Oryctolagus cuniculus: one gene and its partners. The protein of the gene in region 2 purifies or fractionates together with the protein of the main gene of each other region. This does not show direct contact. Links are inferred from orthologs where the notes say so. Each region holds a gene or a part of one and is shown on either strand. Other genes may lie near its edges.

Evidence for each region. The genes of interacting proteins can lie anywhere in the genome.
Region 1: the proteins of OTUD5 (region 2) and MAGED1 purify together in Homo sapiens (affinity purification with mass spectrometry, with the first as the bait; 3 studies listed by BioGRID). This does not show direct contact. The link is inferred for Oryctolagus cuniculus from reciprocal best matches to the Homo sapiens genes OTUD5 and MAGED1.
Region 3: the proteins of OTUD5 (region 2) and SERBP1 purify together in Homo sapiens (affinity purification with mass spectrometry, with the first as the bait; 3 studies listed by BioGRID). This does not show direct contact. The link is inferred for Oryctolagus cuniculus from reciprocal best matches to the Homo sapiens genes OTUD5 and SERBP1.
Region 4: the proteins of OTUD5 (region 2) and EEF2 purify together in Homo sapiens (affinity purification with mass spectrometry, with the first as the bait; 3 studies listed by BioGRID). This does not show direct contact. The link is inferred for Oryctolagus cuniculus from reciprocal best matches to the Homo sapiens genes OTUD5 and EEF2.

What each region holds. Positions count from the first base shown.
Region 1 is NC_091453.1:36,330,523-36,334,087, reverse strand, and holds the end of MAGED1 (melanoma-associated antigen D1), read right to left. Parts: intron 3,510-3,565; coding exon 3,395-3,509; intron 1,320-3,394; coding exon 942-1,319; 3' UTR 934-941; intron 747-933; 3' UTR 537-746; downstream 1-536. UniProt on the Homo sapiens protein: Involved in the apoptotic response after nerve growth factor (NGF) binding in neuronal cells. Inhibits cell cycle progression, and facilitates NGFR-mediated apoptosis. May act as a regulator of the function of DLX family members.
Region 2 is NC_091453.1:34,099,687-34,103,255, forward strand, and holds part of OTUD5 (OTU domain-containing protein 5), read right to left. Parts: intron 2,780-3,569; coding exon 2,576-2,779; intron 956-2,575; coding exon 754-955; intron 659-753; coding exon 545-658; intron 243-544; coding exon 118-242; 3' UTR 1-117. UniProt on the Homo sapiens protein: Deubiquitinating enzyme that functions as a negative regulator of the innate immune system. Has peptidase activity towards 'Lys-48'- and 'Lys-63'-linked polyubiquitin chains. Can also cleave 'Lys-11'-linked ubiquitin chains (in vitro).
Region 3 is NC_091438.1:105,138,116-105,141,684, reverse strand, and holds part of SERBP1 (SERPINE1 mRNA-binding protein 1), read right to left. Parts: intron 2,105-3,569; coding exon 1,954-2,104; intron 1,119-1,953; coding exon 978-1,118; intron 867-977; coding exon 777-866; intron 263-776; coding exon 143-262; intron 1-142. UniProt on the Homo sapiens protein: Ribosome-binding protein that promotes ribosome hibernation, a process during which ribosomes are stabilized in an inactive state and preserved from proteasomal degradation.
Region 4 is NC_091447.1:59,308,191-59,310,642, reverse strand, and holds part of EEF2 (elongation factor 2), read right to left. Parts: intron 2,014-2,452; exon of another isoform or gene 1,949-2,013; intron 1,876-1,948; coding exon 1,697-1,875; intron 1,609-1,696; coding exon 1,503-1,608; intron 1,401-1,502; coding exon 1,287-1,400; intron 1,183-1,286; coding exon 848-1,182; intron 718-847; coding exon 459-717; intron 243-458; coding exon 135-242; intron 1-134. UniProt on the Homo sapiens protein: Catalyzes the GTP-dependent ribosomal translocation step during translation elongation.

The sequences.
Region 1 (3,565 bases), about 2.2 Mb from region 2:
TTCATGGGAGATGTGGCTAGGGGTGCATGTTCCTTCTCACAGAACAGACTTTGGCACCTACTCTTGCTTCCAACCTGAAGTTTTTTCATTTTCCACAGTAAAATCAACAGTCCAGAATCCCAGGCCCCTGACCCTTCATTCTCCAGGAACAGCCATCTCTCCTCTTCAACTATCCATTCCTTACACCTTATCACATGTAGTTAGTTCTACCTCCTCTGTCTTGTCTTAAATCAAGCCTTCTGACCACCTAGACATCCCTTCATTTTATGATTTCTCTCAGTGTTACTTCAGGACATTCAGCAACATATCTATCATATGATTCACTTAAATGATGCTCACTGAAAAACTACACTAATTTGTAGGCCTTATTAACACTTCATTAATTCCTCTTTTTTTCCCCAATCCATTAGCTTGATCTACCCACATCTCTGCTGAAATCTGATCCACCCTTCAGGCTATAACTAAGGTTCCACCTCTCTCATTAAATATGCTGATCTCTCCCCAAACACAGAAAGAAAAAGGGGGAGCACATCTAATTCACTTTGCAATTTCAATGTTTATTTCTGATACCAAAACTTGACAGCACACAAGGAAAAAAAGCAATAGACAAGGAACAGCAAATAAATTTATCTTGCATGCCACTTTCAGTCAACAGGATGTGGCTCTCTAGATAGCTGTGTTTTAGAAGGAATCTGAGACTTCAGCCTCAATTCAGGGGAAAGACTATTGCAACCGATGAGCAATATCTGTGAATATAAGAAAGAAAAAGTGGAAAAATCAATGATATGTATCTCAAATAATAAGGAATATAAATGCCAAATAGTGCTGCCCTACAATTCCCTCATTTCCTCATCACAAATTTCCTGACTCCTAGCTCATGCACATAATTATAACCCCCAAGGACTCTATCAATTCAAAAAGAGAAATACCTACCAAACAGTTTATTCAACCCAGAAGAATCCAATGGCACCAAAATTGGCAGCAAAGTTGGCACTGGCTGTGCCACCAGGACCAATGATGGGGCCAGCAAAGGTTTGAGGAAATCTGGAGCGGGCATTCTGGTGGTATCTGGCCCAGAAAGTAAATGGAATCCTGGACCAGGGATCTCCAAAATCTCCTTCCTCATCCCAGGTCAGCAGCTCAAATTCAATGTCATCCCAGCTCCAGGGCCCAGATACAGCTTCATCTCCAATCCCCATGCGGGTTCTTGCTTCAGCCCGGGCTTCGGCCTCAGCTGCAGCAGCATCCAAAGCATCCAAGGCCTCATCTGCGGCCTCCATAAACTGTGCAGTCCAGTCACGAGGGTCTCTTTTCTGAACCTGAGATGAGGAACAGAAAACAGAATCACACCTATTTACAATGACTAAGATACAGAATCAACCTAAGCGTCCATCAATGGATGACTTGATAATGAAGGTGTATATTTAAAAGATAATACTATACAGCCTTTAAAAGGAAGAAATCCTGCTATTTGTGGCAGCATGGATGAACCTAGAGGCCATTATGTTAAAGTGAAATAAGATACAAAAAGGCAAATACTGCACGATCTCACTTATAGGTAGAATCTGAAAGAACCGAACTCTTAAAAGCACAAAGTGTAACAGTCACCAGAGATTGTGGAGGTGGGGAGACTGGAAGAAGGAGACACTGGTTAAAACATGCAAAATTTAACTTAGGATGAATAATGTCTAACACATGATTACTATAGTTAATGACAATGTATTGCATACTTGAAAATTGCTGAGTACATTTTAAATCTTGTCATCATAAAAATGCTAAGTATGTGATCTGGACAGCTAATCAGCTTCATTTAATCATTACATAATGTACACATATTACATACACATACTCCATAATCTATAAAAATTACCAAAATACCACCTTGTATTCCAAAAATGTTAAATTTGATTAAGTGAAAAAAAACAAAAAAACACTTAAAGATAATGTTGTACATTATATACATTATGTCAACAAAACTGTAATAAAGTTGGAAAATTAATGAATAAAAATATTAAAAATCCAACCCTTAACAGTATTAGTTAATATATACGAGGGTATTTAAAAATGCTCATGAAAAAATGGAATTAAGAGGTAAGTTTAGGGGGCAGCATTGTGGTGTAGCAGGTAAAGTTGCTGCCTGCAATGCCAGCATCCCATATGGCTGCTTATTCAAGATCCAGATGCTGGACTTCCAATCTAGCTCCCTGCTAATGTGCCTGGGAAAGCAGTGAAAGACAGTCCAAGTGCTTGAGCCCCTGCACCCACATGGGAGACCTGGAAGAAGCTCTTGACTCCTGGCTTCAGCCTGGCCCAGCCCTGGCCACTGCAGCCATTTGGGGAGTGAACCAGTGGATGGAAAATCTCTCTGTCTCTTCCTCTCTCTGTGTGTAACTCTGACTTTCAAACAAAAAAAAAGAGAAAGATAAGTTTAGGTGCTGGCATTCTGGCACAGCAGGTTAAGCCACCACTTGTGATGCCAGTATCTGATATCAGAGTGCTGATTTGAGTCCAATCCAGCTCCCTGCTAACGTGCCTGGAAGACAATAAAGATGGTCCAAGTTCCTGGGCCCCTGCCACCCTTGTAGAAGACCTGGATGGAGTTCCTGGCTCCTAGTGTCAGCCTAGCCCAGGTCTCACTGTTGCAGCTCTTAGGATAATGAACCAGCAGACAGGAAATATTCTCTCTCTCTCTCTCTCCCCCTTTCTGTCACTCTACCTTTCAAATAAAGTCTTTTAAAAAGAGAGTGATAACTTTAGGGGCAAAAGCTGTGGCTTAGTGAGTTAAGCCATCACTTAGGAAGCCCTGAACCAACTTTCTGCTAATGCATCCTGGAAGCAGCAGATGATGGTTCAAGTGTATGGGCTCCAGACACCCACATAAGAGAGTCAGACGCGGCTTCTGGCTTCCAGCCTTGGCATGACCCAGCCCTGGCTGTTGTGGGCATTAAGGGAGTGAACCAGTAGATGGAAGATCTCTCTTTTTTTCACTCTGTCTTTCAAGTACATGGAAATAATAAATAAAGAAGCATTTTTAAAGAGAGGTAAGTTAATTTTGGTAAAAATTTTTTAAATCCAGTTTTTCTGTAATTCTCATTTTTCATGAACTTTTTGAAGATCCCTCGTTATACATGGTATTCAAAACCTTTCTGCACCAAAACAAACATATTTTAATTCCATCTTCCACCCATTTTTGAAATACCATTGTATTAAGCACCTAATACATATTAAGCCCCCTATTTTTTGTTATTGCTTATATAAAAACAACAATAAATTATCACCAGTAATGCAGCACCTACCATGTGCCATACGAGGATCTCATTCCTGTTCTTGGCCTCTCCCAACCACTGATACCTCATCTCTTGACCTATCAATTCTAGAGCAGTTCCTCCATTACCTCTGCAATGAATCTCAGCACTTTCATCTTGCTAGTCTCATGATAGGAACGGAGGCCCCAGAGGAACTCATACTCAGGAGGGTTGCTGTTGGGCACTCGTCTGTAGTCCAGGTATCTGAAAGAGCACAAAATGTCTTTGTCTTCCTATCCAGGTAAAATGGTAGTATGTCA
Region 2 (3,569 bases):
GGAGGGAGAGGGAAAAGGGGAAGGAGGCAAGAGGGAAGAAAGCCAAAGAAGGCGGGGTGGCACCGGAGGGCAGGAGTTGGGGGGGGTTCGGAGATGGTTCCAGTCCCTGGGTCTCGATCAGCTCTTGTCCGGGGGTGGGTCTCTGTGCACTTTGTTTTTCTTCATACTGTCTAGGTATTCCTGTTGGGACACTGCCAGCACCGAAGCTAGGATCTCATCATCATCCCAGTCATTCAGACCTGCTGGGCAAAAAGAGGAGGAAATGCATTATGAGGCACCCTCAGCCTGCCTTCTCCTCACCTGTGGCTAATCCCCCGGCTCTCCTATTCAGGCTCCTCTCACTCCTTTCTCTATGGAAAAGGCTCCCCTGGGCCTGTGAAATCCCACTTAGCCCCCTTTTGGGACAAATCCCCTAAGCTGAAAAAAAATTCTCTATTATGCCATCTCACTTCTTTACTTGGGGAGACAGCCAGAGGCTCCAGAAGTTCCCTCTTCCAGTCTCCCCCCAATTCCCAGCTGGCCCCTGTCCCCAGAGGAAGCTTACCAAAGGCAGAGGGGGACATCTGCTGAATGAGAGCCCGGCATTCCAGAGCAGGATAGAGGGACACGAGGGGGGAAGTGGCCCGGTCGGCCCCTGCAGAGAACTGACTGCTTGTACCTAGGGCAAATGGACAGTCAGAGGTAGGGCCCAAGGCCCAGGTCCCAGGCAGTGCCTTCTGACCCCAGCATGTGCCCTATAAGCAAGTCACTGACCTGGTGCGCAGGGTGAAGGAGGTTTGGCAAGAGCTAAGACAGTGCCTGGGGAAGGGGGTTTGATGCCTAGCTCGGCGTGCAGCTCAGGGTGCTCGGGGGATGAGGCCGAACTCCGCTGCCGCGGGGACCGACTGGTCCACTCCTCCAGGCCACTGGAGGCTGCTGCTGTGGCTGAACTGCACGTGGCGCTCGCTTTCCGGGGCTGTAGCAGGGGAGGAAGAGCAGTAAGGACTAACACTAGCCAGGACTCTCCTGTGCCCCAGCCCTGAGCGCTCATGCCCTTCCCGGGCCCCTGGCTATGATCAGCTTCCATGCAGGCCTCTGTTAATCCTTTCTCATACCATTACAGCTGTGACAGACAATGACAGGAAATCCGGTTACCTCTACCTTCAAAACAGACCCCAAATCCAATCCCTTTCCCCACCACCCCTACCAGCAGGGTCACTGGTCACCTAGTCTAGTTCAGTAGCCTTCTTCCTCGTTCCCTCCTTCACCCCTCACACTCTATTCGCCATTCGGCAGTCAGGGGGATCCTGTCAAATCCCAAATCAGGTCCTTCCTCTGTTCACGACACTCCCATACATCTCCCTCACTCAAGGTAAAAGCCAAAGTCCTGGGAAGGGTATTGTGAGGCAGCAGGTAAGGCCGCCACTTAGGATGCCTACATCCCATATCGGAGTGCCAGTTCAAGTCCCGGCTACTTGGCTTCTGATACAGCATTACTGCTGACACATCCTGGGAGGCAGAAGAGAATGGCTTAAGTGCTTGGGCCCCTGCACCCATGTAGGAGACCTGGATGGAGTTCTGGGCCCCTCGCTTCCACCTGGCCCAGCCCAGGCTGCTGCAGGCATGCGGGAGTGAACCAGCCTATGGAAGGTCTCTCTCTGTCCCTCTGCCTTTCAAGTAGGTGAAAACAAACAAACGCCAAAGACCTCACCACAGCCCACAAGCCTCTATCCCAGCTGGCCCCACCCCTCCCTCACTTCACCTACTACCACATTTTATTCAGTTACACTGGCCTCCCTCCAGGCTGTGCCTGAATCCCAGGCCCTGCCATTCCCTGCATATGTGCTCAGCTCACTCTTCTGCAAGTCTCTGCTCAAGCCTCATCTGCTCTGAGGCCTACCTTGACCACACCCTTTAGTACTGTGAACTCCCATCCCCTCCACCCTGGCTCTACATTTCTCATCCACAGCACCTCTCAACTGATTTATTCATTCTAGTCTTCTTCATTTTGTTTCACTCTGCACGAATGCAAACATCATAAGGACAGGGATCTTGGCCTGCCACATTCACCAAAGTGTCCCGAGAACAGTGCCTAGCACAGGCTTGCAACAAGTATTTGAACAATCGCCAACATCCAGTCACTCCAAATTCCTTGTGATTCTTCAGATGCCTGTCTGCTGTGCCCTAACTATTCAATCTTCCTCTATGAAGATTGACCAGAGCCCCCACCTCCACTGGGCTCCCAGCCAGGGTCACAGGCCCCACCGGTGATTCTGTCTCCCTCAGTAGATGGGATCACTAAGGACAGTGCAGGCTGCCTCTGGCACTCAAGGGCATCCAACAGAAGCTTGTCTCTCTGCAGCTATCCACCATGCACCCATGTCACTAGAACCAGTGACTACCCTCCTTTGCTCCTTGAAGCGAGTGTTGCCCACATGGTTACAGAGTTCAAAGGCAAAATGCCAAGATTAAGACCAAGATGAGCTATAGATGGGACTGAAAACTTCCTTCCCTTATGGAAGTCAAACCGCTTACTACTATTCAGTTTGGAGCAAAACATGGAAGGGCCAGATCAGTGACAGAGCCCATTACGAACCTGGCTGGGGCCGCGGACCTGGCGGGCCTGTTTCTCCTGATCTCGCAGCCACTGAAGGTAGGATTCCCTAGCTACTTGCTCCTCAATGGCCTCATTTGTGGCCTCCCAGTCTGTAGCACGTTTCTTGTCTTCCAGCATCTGCTGTTCAATCCATGACTCCTCCGATGTCTTTATGGCATTCTTCATCAGGGACTGCTCTGCAAACTGCAAGGGGGAGAGGAACAGGCATGTGGGGCCAAGAGCCAAAATGGGCTCAGGGAGACAGGGGCCCAGGCTTTGCAAAAAAGACCTGAAGACAGGTGCTCCCACATAGCACCCTTGTAGATGCCTATTTATCAGTGACTAGGGGAAAAGTAGGCTTGGGTTGTGGGGCCTGTTATTCCAAAATCCTATGCTCCCATGTCCTGACCCCACCCCAATGGAGGCACTAAGTCTGGGGTGGCCAGGTGCCCTCTAGCCTAGGCCTAAAGGAAAAGCAGTCCCATTCAGTTTCACGCTGCTGAGGTGGGTCTCCCTCACACGTGCCCAGATGAGACAAAGAGAAAAAGACCATCCAAGAAGTGAGCAGTGTTGGCGCACAGTGGAGGGGGTATTCAAGGAAGCCAGGTGGCTATGTGAGGCAATGAGGGGCAGTACCACTGTGCTGTGCGCGACTGTGAGCTTTCACGCACTCTGAGAGTACTGCTTGTTAGGCTGTGAGCATGTCAAAAAATTAATAAACAACAGGAAACATCAGAGTATATCCCAGGGAACAAGTATAAATAGTTTCTTTTGAAGCCTTAGCTAACATTATTTTAATGCACACAGACTACACACAAACATGTGCGTGTCAAGTGATGATGGAAAGTATAACCTTTTTCCTGTGGACAATAATTTTAATGGAGTTTTAGAAAAAGCCAATTAAAAGGGGGCAGAAAAAAATCTAAAAACACATCATTCATCAAAGATCTACAGAGGACAAATAAGCATATGAAAGGTAGCTCATCAGCATTTC
Region 3 (3,569 bases), on a different chromosome or scaffold from region 2:
TGTGAAGCAGCCTTCTAAACAGTACTTGAATAAGTCTCTTGTCAAAAATGCATCAAATCACATGAAGTCAATGACATCTTACTAGTAAAATCCCAAACTGTGTTCACTGCTGAAGCATCACTGCTACATCAAAACCACTTACTTATTTTCAGTGTCTGCCACTGGATGTTCTTCACCTTCAGGTGTTTCCTCAGTCACATTTGATTGATCCAAGTCACTGCAATTATAAGATATTTGTTTCTGAATGTATTTTGGGGACTCTCTAAGGAAAGAAAAGAAAAAGAAAAGCATCTAGATCCATTTACGTGTAGCCAAAGAGTTCTTCGTAACAATTAAAAACTTCATAATCTTTTGTCTTTTCCTACTAAATTTATTCCCCAGTACAGCTCTAAGAGAAAACAACATCAACTACTGGTGATTCACAGGCTTATTCACAAGTTAACAAGAACCAGAATGTAAGCAGCTGGAAAAGTAACTATTACAGACACAAAGGAAATCATTAGAATCCTCAAGTAACTTCAATGTAAAATATCAAGAAAAGCTTTATATTCACATGAAAAAAAATTAGTAACATATACAAGTATACAGAAGTATAGAATAATTGCTCATTTGATATACTGTAACCCAAATCTATCCCATAAGGCATTGTCTTTTAAGACAATATCTCTGAAATAAGAACATCCATTCTTGTTCCAGGAACAAAATTTAATAAATGTATAGGTTAAGACTCTAGATTAGTTTAGGATCAATTTTATTAAAAAAATCGGAATACCAACGTTAATTCATCTTTGACAGTTCCCCAGTTGTGAGATCCGCTACCTCCACGTTTGTCCTCGTGCTTCAGACCACTGTAATGTGAAAAAGAACTAACAAAACTGAGTTAACATAATACTCTTTAGTTCTAGAAATTCAAATTTTGTTTATTAAATAAATGCATTAAAATATAAACATAAAATAAAAACCAATCTAAGACTTACGATCTATCACTTCCACTATGCCTGTCAAATTCACGTTTGCCACGAGAATCAAATCCATCTCCTCGGCCCATTCCACGTCCACGGCCTCCTCGACCTCTTCCTAGACCACCACGGCCTCGGATAGGTCGGTCAATTATAGGCCTACAATACAAAATTTAAAAATTTAGATTTCCATGGTTTCCAAAAAAAGGAGTAAGAGAAATCTATTCAAGCACTCAAAAACACATATTTACTGGCTCATAAATCATCAGTTAAAGACATGCTTTAGAAAATTCTAGTCTATTTCTAAACACATAAAGGAAATCAGAACCAGGAAGCTCCCATTCTCAGAAGAAAACTGTTTTTGGAATCCTCACAGGGGTAGGGAACCTTTTTTTCTGCCAAGGGCCTTTTGTATGTTTATAACATCACTCTCAGGTCATACAAAATTATCAACTTAAAAAAATTAGCCTGCAAAAGTTCCTGAATTTCAAGTCCCACTTGCAGTTGCCTTGGCAAGACCAAACCGAATAATTTCTTACACTTCACACAGCCCAAAAGTTGGCCATTCCCGACCCCTGCTCCAAAGCATTACTACTAGTGCATAACTACTAGTTTTCACTATTATTCACTGATTATAATCAAGTAACACGATTATTCTCCAATACATTTAAAAACTAAATTAAGCACAACTAACCTGCAGAATGAATAACCTTTTTTACTATTTAAAGAGCATTTTTCTTTTAAGTCAAAATCTGGGGAGAGCAAAGAAATGACAGTGGCCATCAATTCAACTGAAACTGCCTCATTAGAAATCTAAGTCTGGACTGTTATCCAAAGGTCTGAGGATAACAATATACTCAGATACCTCAGAAACTGGTAAATGCGATCAGCCTCTCTGCTACCTGGCAATGATGCCCAAGTGACAGCTTTGTGTTAATATAGGACTATGCATTGACAAAGCATGAAAAGACTTTTTCTAAAAAAGAAATCTTACCTATCAACTGAAAACTCTCCTCCTTCACCCTTTTCTTCTAGTGGCTTTTCAAATCTTCTTTCACGAGGTGGTCGCCTTTCTGGTCTTCTATCAATTATTTTCCCTTCACCTTGAAGCTGTTGATCAGGTCTTCTCCCAACACGTCTTATTCCTAGAACATTAGATAACCTGTATAAGCAAATTATCTCTGCAATACAAAAAGTTTAGTCCTAGGCTATCCAAAAACCACAGTGCTACTTTTTCAGTCCACTAACTAGCATTTCCCATTGGAAAAAGCAAACACCAACCATTCCTAATGTGTAACAAAGTATTTTAGGGAAATTCTTAAAAACAAAGTTTGTTGTGAACTTCTATTTAGTTTGCCAAGTTATCTTCCCACATTAAAGCATTCTCTATAACTGTCTTGAAGTCATTTGAGCAGTCATTCCGCCTCACCTTTTTCAAGATGTCAGCCTATTGATAATTTAAAGAAACTGTAGACCAGAGATACATTTTGGCTTTAAAGTATCAAAGAAAATAATACCAACAGTCATTCATAAGTAACCAATTAAATCAACCAAAAAAAAAGTCGTGCTATTTTAGTCTATATAATCTGAAAAAAAATTGAGTAAAAAGACCCATAATTCTATGAAATTACACACTGAAAGGAAAACAAATGGTATTTAATGTTATTTAAAAAAATCCACCATCTAAAATAGTTATTTAACCAGAAAAGTACTATCTTCTGTAAATATCTAATACATGAAAAGCGTGCACAAACATCTACACTAGACACCTAGCTAAAAAAAAAAATTCTCATGTAACCACTAGGAAAATAGCTTATTTATCAATATGAATGGAGAAAGTCTGTTTTTAGGTTTACTCTAACACGTATGTTTGTTTTCAAAAAATCTTTATAAAACCACATTTATACACAGAAGCAGTATTATCAGAAACTATGGAAGATATCTGAATTAGTTACTGATTTCCTACCCCCATACTGTTTTTTTTCCTGTTAATGCCTTAAGTCCAAACCAACATGAATTATTGGTGACCTTAGGATAAACAGATTGATGGCTAAATTCATGACTGAAATTTCAGGTATGCTGAAATTACCAAACCACAATTTCTGACAAAGTCAAAAAGCAGTTAAGAAATTGGTTTTACAAAATCTGAAGTTATTTCTCTTGGGTTCTTTCTAAGAAAGTGGAACACAATCAGGGCATACCCAATCATTTAGCAGCCTGTTACCAAACACTAAATTATCAATCTGGTTATTAAAATGTTAAGGTTCATTCCCTATAAACTCTCAGAATAGACCACAAATGTCAGACCTTACACTGAGGCACTTAAATAAATGTCATCAGAGGCATAATGTATTGGGGTGGAGCTATAGAACCAATTCCCAGGCTATCCAAGCCAAATGCACCCAATTAACAACTTGCTTCCCCACCCAATACTATCTTGCAGGATCTAGAAAAATTTAAATAGGCTCATCTAACGCGAAATAATTGGTATTTTTTTTTAAAAAAAGTTTCTTCTGATACATTAATACATACCTGCAAGCCCACTAACTGCACTAGATTCCAGACTATTATTTAAAAAAAAAAACCTGGTCTACAACCTCAGTGACTTTG
Region 4 (2,452 bases), on a different chromosome or scaffold from region 2:
GAGGACAGGGCGGGGGAGGACAGGGGCGGGGGGGGGACAGGGGTGGGGGAGGGCAGGGCGGGGGGGGGGACAGGGGCGGGGGAGGACAGGGGCGGGCATGGACAGGGCAGGGAGGACGGGGCGCGGCCCCGCACCTTGATGGGGATGCAGGCGTGGTCCTCCTCCAGGTCCTTGAGGCAGATCTCCAGGTGCAGCTCGCCGGCGCCCGCGATGATGTGCTCACCCGACTCCTCGATGATGCACTGCGGGCAGGGGCTCGGCACGTCAGCCGGCCCGGAGCCCCCTCCCCGCTCAGCCAGCCCGGAGCCCCCTCCCCGCTCAGCCAGCCCGGAGCCCCCTCCCCGCTCAGCCAGCCCGGAGCCCCCTCCCCGCTCAGCCAGCCCTGAGCCCCCTCCCCGCTCGGCCAGCCCGGAGCCCCCTCCCCCCGGCCCCGCCGCCCGCCCGGCCCCGCCGCCCACCTGCACCATGGGGTCCGACTTGGCCAGCCGCTTCAGGCCCTCCACCAGCTTGGGCAGGTCGGCCGGGTTCTTGGCCTCCACGGCCACGCGCACCACGGGGCTCACGCTGAACTTCATCACCCGCATGTTGTGGGCGTGCTCGAAGGTGGTGATGGTGCCCGTCTTCACCAGGAACTGGTCCACGCCCACCAGGCCCACGATGTTGCCGCACGGCACGTCCTCGATGGGCTCCACGTAGCGGCCCATCATCAGGATGGTCCTGGGCAGGCCGGGCGCAGCCCGTCAGCGCGGCGGCACCCGGACACACAGCACCGCCCACCCGCGCCCCTGCAGGCCAGCCCCGGCCACTGCGCGGCGGGCTCACTGGCCGCCACCGCCCGGGCGCTCACCTCTGGATCGGCTTCAGGTACAGGTCCTCCTTCTTGCCGGGCGTGTAGTTGGGGCCCATGATCCTGACCTTGAGGCCGGTGGACACCAGCCCCGAGAACACGCGGCCGAAGGCGTAGAAGCGGCCCTTGTCGGAGGTGGGCACCATCTTGGAGATGTACATCATGAGGGGCCCCTTGGGGTCGCAGCTCTTGATGCCCATGGCGGCCTCGTCGTCGGGCGGCCCCTCGTACAGCAGCTCGCAGCGGTACTTCTGGGCCGTGACGGGCGAGGGCAGGTGGATGGTGATCATCTGCAGCAGCGCGTCCCCGGCCGGCAGCCAGCGGCGCATCACAGCCTGCGGAGGGCGGCGCAGGGCTCAGGGCCCGCCGGGCGGCTCCCTGTCCCCTCCTTCCCTGCCCCTCCGTGGGGCGCCCTGCGGGGCCCTGGCGGGCCGCCCACCTTCAGCAGCGGCTTGCCCTCCTTGTCCTTGTCCTCGCTGTCCAGCTTGATGTCCAGCTTCTCGATCAGCTTCGCCGTCTCCTCCTTCTTGAAGTTCATGATGGCGTCGAACACCTGCGGCCGGCGACACCGCGCCGTGAGCCCAGCGCCGGGAGGGGGCCCGCATGCCGCTCCAAACCCAAGCCCTGGGCCCCCCCAGCCCCCGGCCCCGCCCACCTTGAAGATGGGGTCCAGGATGAGCTGGCAAAAGGTGCGCGGCAGCTTCTTGCCGTCGGGGCTGGTGGCCGACTTGCTGAACTTGCCGTTGGACGGGTCGAAGTACCTGGAGCGGGGGCAGGGGCGGGGGCCGTCAGGTCTCAGCCCTGCTGCTGCCTGCCCGCCCGCCCGCCGCCCCTCCGCCCCGCGCTCACCGGTCACCCCACAGCTTCTTCATCATGTCCTCCACCTTCTTGGCCCGCTCCGCCGGCCCCAGCTGGCCCTCGCCTTTGGCTGCGAACTTGGCCACGTACATCTCAGCAAACTGCTTCAGCGTGAAGGCCCAGCCGTGCAGGCCGGACCCGAAGCCCACGGTGCCCAGCACGGGGTCGATCTGGGGGAGCAGGGCGGCGCTGAGCGGCCGTGGACGCGGCCGCCGTGGGCCCCGCCCCGCCCTGGCACCCCGGCCTCAGACGCGGGCTGTCTTCACCAGAGATCAGGTCAAAGTGAAGAAGTCTCGGTCATCACGGGCTGCCGCCCCCGGCACGCACCATGATGTTGCCCATGGGCCCGCCCTCGCCCTCGGCCCGCCCCGCGGCACGCACCATGATGTTGCCCATGGGCCCGCCCTCGCCCTCACCCCCCCCCCGCCCCCAGCACGCACCATGATGTTGCCCATGGGCCCGCCCTCGCCCCCACCCGCCCCGCGGCACGCACCATGATGTTGCCCATGGGCCCGCCCTCGCCCTGGCCCCCCGGCTGCCCCGCGGCACGCACCATGATGTTGCCCATGGGCCCGCCCTCGCCCTCGCCCCCACCCGCCCCGCGGCACGCACCATGATGTTGCCCATGGGCCCGCCCTCACCCCCGGCCCGCCCCGCGGCACGCACCATGATGTTGCCCATGGGCCCGCCCTCACCCCCGGCCCGCCCCCAGCACGCACCATGATGTTGCCCATGGGCCCGCCCTCA